Linked DNA regions of Callithrix jacchus. Each later gene encodes a partner of the first gene's protein in a complex. Links are inferred from orthologs where the notes say so. Each region holds a gene or a part of one and is shown in the gene's direction. Other genes may lie near its edges.

What was found. Proteins that work in one complex are often made in the same cells at the same time.
Region 2: the proteins of FGF2 (region 1) and API5 are in contact, whole or in part, in a crystal structure (PDB 6L4O), measured with the Homo sapiens proteins. The link is inferred for Callithrix jacchus from reciprocal best matches to the Homo sapiens genes FGF2 and API5. Residues at the interface, in NP_001997.5 of Homo sapiens: Asn169, Arg181, Arg223, Lys261, Arg262, Thr263, Gln265, Lys267, Lys271, Lys277, Ala278; in NP_001136402.1 of Homo sapiens: Asp145, Arg148, Glu184, Asp185, Val186, Thr187, Glu190, Glu219, Asp222, Gln225, Asn228, Asp231, Arg237.

The regions. Positions count from the first base shown.
Region 1 is NC_133504.1:74,737,818-74,741,472, reverse strand, and holds part of FGF2 (fibroblast growth factor 2), read left to right. Parts: intron 1-1,977; coding exon 1,978-2,163; 3' UTR 2,164-2,588; coding exon of another isoform or gene 2,589-2,986; 3' UTR 2,987-3,655. Other genes in the region: NUDT6 (nucleoside diphosphate-linked moiety X motif 6), read right to left, coding at 2,589-2,986. UniProt on the Homo sapiens protein: Acts as a ligand for FGFR1, FGFR2, FGFR3 and FGFR4. Also acts as an integrin ligand which is required for FGF2 signaling. Binds to integrin ITGAV:ITGB3.
Region 2 is NC_133511.1:108,379,310-108,382,964, forward strand, and holds part of API5 (apoptosis inhibitor 5), read left to right. Parts: intron 1-2,279; coding exon 2,280-2,486; intron 2,487-3,655. UniProt on the Homo sapiens protein: Antiapoptotic factor that may have a role in protein assembly. Negatively regulates ACIN1. By binding to ACIN1, it suppresses ACIN1 cleavage from CASP3 and ACIN1-mediated DNA fragmentation. Also known to efficiently suppress E2F1-induced apoptosis.

The DNA.
Region 1 (3,655 bases):
AAGTATTGGATTTGGAATATGTTGGTCTATATTATTCCAGGTTTAGGTGTTTCACTCTTAACCACATTTGAATCTTTGTGAACAGCACAAGACACTCCTATGTATCATATAGCTGGGTCCTGTCAATGTGTGCTTCTTTGTAAGCTGTGATTTATTTGCATCATAAAGAATTGAGTTTATTAGTAACATATTACATAATGAGCAAATTAGTTAAGTTTGTATTTCAGTTTTTAGAAATCCAATTAACAGTGGTCAAGATATTAAAACCAAGTAAATATCCAGTAAAATTCTTATAAGATTACAGGATCTAATATCATACCCTTACTTTAGATGGCTGAGACAAATTCGTCACTTTTAGTTCTTTCCCAGGCTTTACTTCATTTTTGTTATGCCAGCTCTTTTCCTTGTTTTGTCAGTTTGTTTTTGTCACAATTTGTGCCATTGTTTGCCTTATCTTAGAACCAAGGAATCTGGGAAAGGGTTCAAGTCTTTTTAATGTGGGTTTTTCCAAACTTGAAATCTTCTAAATATGAGCATATAGAAATAAACTGGAAGTGGTATTTTTTTTTAGATGGAGTCTCGCACTGTCACCTGGGCTGCAGTGGCATGATCGACTCACTACTACCTCCACCTCCCAGGTTCAAGCAATTCTCCTTCTTCAGCCTTCTAAATAACAGGGATTACACGTACCCACCACCACACCTGGCTAATTTTTTGTATTTTTAGTAGTGACAGGGTTTCACCACATTGGCCAGGATGTTCTTGAACGTCTGACCTCATGATCTACCTGCCTCAGCCTCTCAAAGTGCTGGGATTACAGGTGTGAGCCACTGTGCCCAGCCCAGAATGTGGTATTAATATAAAACCATATATTTATATACCTCTGTATACATCTTATGTGTTTAGATAAAATTTACATGTGTTTTCTATATGTTTATAATTCTCTCTCTACATATAGAATTATAAACTTATATAGGAAACACATGTAAATTTGTTTATACACACACACACAAAACCATTAATTATAAAAATGATTTTTTTTATTTTGAAGTGAATAAATTGATTTTTCCCCCTAGAGTTATCATCAGTGCTACCCTGTGAAGTTGCTTTTTGAACATGTATCTTAAATAATGTGGTAGTTATTAGATTCCATTATTTGGAGTATTATTTCCAGGTCTATTTGAAAGCCAGCTATCCTTTTTTTCTAATAAATAGTTGGATTGAAATTAAAAGACAAAGTCTATCCCTCAAGAAGGAGACTGCCAGAAATCAACATGATCATTACTTATTTCTCATTGTCTAACAGTGTTTGGAGATTGTTCATCATATGAAATATAATGTTCCAATATTATTTTTTGGCATTATATACCACTAGCTATTTTCTGTACAATAAACTATTCCTTCTTATGCCTTAAAACAACATTAGCCACTTAAAAATTGTAGTTAAAAATTGGGGGATTAATTCTGTTTGTGAGTCAAGTATTAACAAACCTCCTTCTTCGGTATGGAAAGATTACACTAGGTTAGCCTTCTACTACTACAGCTTCACTGTACCCCTGATAAAAGTAAAAATGACCGCTGATTGTTAATCTGCCTTGGAACTAGGAGGGATGTGGATGGATCATAAATACAGCTGGAAGCTATAGCTTTGGGCTTCCCATAGTGTGCTTCTTCTTACTAGGTATGTCCTTCCTTGTGCTTAACACCTGACCTGTTTTGGAGCTGGAGAATGGTCTCTGAACTCCTACTGAAGAGACATAGTTGGTGCTGTCCTGCTGACATGCTGTATTCCTGGTCTGCATCCTTCTTCAGAGCTACTCTGTGTCATATATATTTTGGCCCATTGAATCTTGTTAGTTTGATTTTCCTGCTGAACCTAATACCACTGCTGCTGGTTGAGCAGACTGGCCATTGTACTATCATAAATATTTAAGATGAAAAGTGTAATAATAATAATTCTTCCTTTTTTTTTTTCAGAAATGTGTTACGGATGAGTGTTTCTTTTTTGAACGATTGGAATCTAATAACTACAATACTTACCGATCAAGGAAATACACCAGTTGGTATGTGGCACTGAAACGAACTGGGCAGTATAAACTTGGATCCAAAACAGGACCTGGGCAGAAAGCTATACTTTTTCTTCCAATGTCTGCTAAGAGCTGATCTTAATGGCCACATCTAATCTCATTTCACATGAAAGAAGTATATTTTAGAAATTTGTTAATGAGAGAAAAAGAAAATGAACGTGTACAGCTCAGTTTAGATAACTGGTCAAACAACGTTTTATCCAGTAGTAAAATATGTAACCATTGTCCCAGTGAAGCAAACTAACAAAAATTGTTTAAAAATATATAGACTTCCCCCTTTCATATAGCATCTGCTGTTACCCAGTGAAGCTTACCTAGAGCAATGATCTTTTTCATGCATTTGCTTTATTTGAAAAGAGGATTTTAAAATGTGTACATTTAGAAACAAAATTTCTTCATGGAAATCATATCTATTAGAAAATTACAGTCAGATATTTAATCCCAAACGTCCACTATTTCTTATTTGTTAGTTTACATGTTTCTAAACATATAAATGTGAATTTAATCAATTCCTGTCATAGTTTTATAATTCTCTGGCAGTTCCTTGTGATAGAGTTTATAAAACAGGCCTGTGTGCACTGCTGGAAGTTCTTCCACAGTCAGGTCAATTTTGTCAAACCCTTCTCTGTACCCATACAGCAGCAGCCTAGCAACTCTGCTGGTGATAGGAGTTGTATTTTCAGTCTTGGCCAGGTCATTGAGATCCATCCACTCACATCTTAAGCATTCATGCTGGCAAAAATTTATTGTGAATGAGTATGGCTTTAGGCGGCAGATGATATACATATCTGACTTCCCAAAAGCTCCAGGATTTGCGTGCTGTTGCCGAATACTCAGGAGGGACCTGAATTCTGATTTTATACCAGTCTCTTCAAAAACTTCTCTAACTGCTGTGACTCCTACATAAAAAAGAGATGTACAAATCAATAAGGATTACAGTTTTAGAAACTGTATTATCAAAGATTTTCATTTCAGTTAAAGTAGCATTATCTAAAGGCTCAAAACATTACCCTAACATAGTAAAGTTTCCAATACAAATTCTTTGCCTTGTGGACATCAAGAACACCAAAATATTTTCTTATCACTGTACATTTAAGAAGCTTTTGAAATGCTGAATATTTCTTTGGCTGCTACTTGGAGGCTTATCCACCTGTACATTTTTGGGGTCAACTCTTTTTAACTTCTTGCTGCTCTGTTTCCCAAAAGGTAAAAATATAGATTGAAAAGAAAACATTGCACTGGTGCAGTTCCCTTGTTTCTTGAGATAAGATTCCAAAGAACTTAGATTCATTCCTTCAACACCAAAATGCTGTAGGTGTTTCATCAGAAGTTTTCAAAAACTTGGAATATAAATAATTTTATAATTCAACAAAGATTTTCATATACGGTTGATTTTTCAATTAAATGCAAATTTCTGTGGCGGGGTTTTTATTGCCATTAACATATTTTTGTGGCTGCTTTTCTGTACATCTAGAGAGACCCCCTAACTGTACTTTCTCTAATTTTGTGATGCTGTCATTCTTTCCCAAGGCATTTAGGAGAAGCCCTTTATAAAGCTGTCTTCCTCC
Region 2 (3,655 bases), on another chromosome or scaffold:
CCATACCAAGACAAGAATCTATGACCCAGGCGGTAGTGCCCCTGCCTAAAAGGGCATGCACTACATGGCAGGCTGGCCCAAGTGGCAGTGTTCAGTATTGTAAAAATACCCACTGTATGGCAAGCTTAAACCAAAAGTCACTCCTCCTATAAAAGAGTTGTACTATCTTGCATCTAGTTATTGTGGAAAGCTGGCCTCAGGTCAGCAATCCCACGAGCGTCGGAGGGCTTAAAACCCCTCCAGTATAGTTGTGCCATGGTGGCTCTAAACCCTGTCGGCTCTCTTGCTACTGGGCTAACTTAAAACATCCTCCTACAAAAATCCTTAAAAGTAGCCTGCCCCTAAATAAAAAATGTTGCACACTGCACCCTCCTTACTGCCCACTGCCTACCTCCTTACTGCCCACTGCCCACCTCCTTGCCTCGGTAACCTAATAGAAGTAAACCCCTTGCTGCCCACTGCCCACCTCCTTGCCTCGGTAACCTAATAGAAGTAAACCCCTTGCTGCCCACTGCCCACCTCCTTGCCTCGGTGACCTTATGGGGATAGGCCTTTTGCTTATCACTCATGTAAGTGTCTTAACGCTGTCACTATCCTTAAAATAACCTCACTCACTACCCTCGCCCCGTCCTGTACCTAATAAGTACAGACGCACCTAAACACTCAAAGCCTTGCCTGTCTCCACTTACAAGTGGCGTTGGCCCCCCAGCTCAGCTGCTGTTTTTCAGTTCTTTGGTGTCCTGTCTCTATTTCTCGGATCCAGCGCTTCAGCAAAGCAATAAGAAACACCCCACAACCCTAGTGGGGCTAAACCCTACATTCAGCACTTTTGTCAGGTAATGATGAACCAATTTGGTAATTTAAAGGAGTCTGATTACATTTAAACCTTTTGTGATAGTGTCCTTAAAATGTATGCAACTTTCAGTACTCTGCAAATGACCTCCTTCAGGAAACTCCTTAAGTCCCACCTCTCCCTTCCATTTCAGGATATTCTCTCATAGTATTCTAAACTATTTCAAAATGAAATATATTATCACATCAAATGACATTTTCACCTTAGCCCATGGCACTATCCTCTCTTCAATGGTGAGATGACCATGCTTGTCTATGCTCCCAGCATCTAGCATAGTTGTAGATGCTGAGATTGGCAAGGTGCGTCACAGTTAACTTTTTACTCAATGTGCCAAGTTTGGGAATAGTTTACTTTTTTAATATGTTCAAGAAGATTCATGGTTTCTCTAAAGCATGTGACAAATCTTATGGTTCAGGCTGTAGAAATTTCAGACTACTACTGCTGCTTCCTTATTGATAAAATTATTTTTCAGTTAGACAGAAATAGCTCTGTAGCTGGGAATATCAGACTGTTTTACCTATGTCCCAGCTGGTAATCTGGTAGAGTATGTCATAACTGTGAGCTCCTTTGGTCTATGAATACAAAGATTTAGACCCACAGATATGGAAGATTTGATATGAGACCTGCAAGGTGTCCTGTTTTGTGTACAACAATTACTATACTAATATGAATTAGACTACTTTTAAATATGATTAACAATCTGATTCAACAGTCTGTTACAGAATTTTTCAACCATTTTTTAAAATCACTCCCCTAAATAGCCTTTTAAAGAAATTTTTTTTTTTTTTTTTTTTTTTTTTGAGACGGAGTTTTGGTCTTGTTACCCAGGCTGGAGTGCAATGGTGCAATCTCGGCTCACCGCAATCTTCGCCTCCTGGGTTCAAGTAATTCTCCCGCCTCAGCCTCCTGAGTAGCTGGGATTACAGGCACGCGCCACCATGCCCAGCTAATTTTTTGTATTTTTAGTAGAGACAGGGTTTCACCATGTTGACCAGGATGGTCTCGATCTCTTGACCTCGTGAACCACCCGCCTCAGCCTCCTGAAGTGCTGGGATTACAGGCTTGAGCCACCATGCCCGGCCCTAAAAAAATTTTTAAAGATACTGTTTTCTTAGCTGCTCTCCCATGAACTTTTAATCCCAAGTGTATACTGTATATCTGTTTATGGTCCTGTATGTATATCTGTGCTTTTGCACATAAAAAAGGTAACATTTTCTAAGAACGAATTTTTGCCCCCTTGGAGAATGCCTGGTTTACTCTGAAGCTCAACTGACCGAGGCTAGAAGTTGCCTTTTCATCAGTATTTTCGAAGCATTAATATCAAACTGACATTAGTAACTGAAATAAATTAGCTATTCTTTTTCAGTGTTGATCTTTCCCATTCAAATAATAAATATACTCTTATTCTGAATTGTCTCTTTTCCAGGTCCTAGAAGATGTGACTGGTGAAGAATTTGTTCTATTCATGAAGATACTGTCTGGGTTAAAAAGCTTACAGACAGTGAGTGGAAGACAGCAACTTGTAGAGTTGGTGGCCGAACAGGCTGACTTAGAACAGACCTTCAATCCCTCGGATCCTGACTGTGTGGACAGGCTCTTACAGTGCACTCGGCAGGCGGTACCCCTCTTCTCTGTGAGCTCTTTATTTTACACACCTGGTATTTTGATTACTCTATTAGCTGTGTATATTTCCATGAATACTAACTTTAACATTCCCCTTAAAACTTTCTAGTAGTGTCCCTTATCTGAAATGCTTGGAACCAGAAGTGTTTTTAGATTTTTTAATATTTGCATTTTTTTGAGAGAAAGAATTTTTTTTTCCTTGAGACAGGGTCTTGCCCTGTCACCCAGGCTGGAGTGCAGTAGCACGATCTTGGCTTACTGCAGCCTCCACCTCCCAGGTTCAAGCCATCCTCCTATCTCTGCCTCCCAACTAGCTACTACAATAGGCATGTACTACTATACCCAGCTAATTTTTATATTTTTTGTAGGTACGAGGATTTCCCGTTTTGCCCAGGCTGGTTTTGAACTCCTGAGCTCAAGCAGCCTGCCCTCTTTGGCCTCCCAAAGTGCTGGGATTACAGGTGTGAGCCACCATGACTGGCCAAGAAATTTTTTTAAAAGCCTTCTAGAGACGTTTTTTAAAAGTCATGAGAATTTTGCATTCTGTCTCAGGCTTTGTGTTTCCTCTGGCCATGCATCTTCTGGTATGTGCATACATTAGTTTGAAAAACACAGCTTAAAGGGACTATCCTAGATCAGGCGTGGTGGCTCATGCTTATAATCCCATTTTAGCACTTTGTGAGCCAAGGTGGGAGTTCAAGACCAGCCAAGGCAACACAGCAAGACCTCGTCTCTACAAAGAAAATTAAATAAAAGAACTATCCCTTTTGAGAAACACACAGTCTGAAAATCTAACACTAAAATGTGCCCCCCAATTTTTTTTTTTTTTTTTTTTTTTTGAGACCGTCTTGCTGTGTCCCCTAGGCTGGAATGCAGTGGCATGATTTCCACTCACTGCAACCTCCACCTTCTGGGTTCAAGTGATTCTTGTGCCTCAGCATCCCAAGCAGCTGGGATTACAGGCATGCATCACCACTCCCAGCTAATTCTTTATATTTTTAGTAGAGATGAAGTTTTGCCATGTTGCCCAGACTGATCTTAAACTCCTGAGCTCAGGCGATCTGCCCGCTTCCGCCTCTCAAAGTGCTAGGATTACAGGCATGTGCCACCATGCCTGGCCATGTCCCAAATTTGACCTGAGAATCAAGGAAAAGATTAAAATGTATAGATGTCCCAATG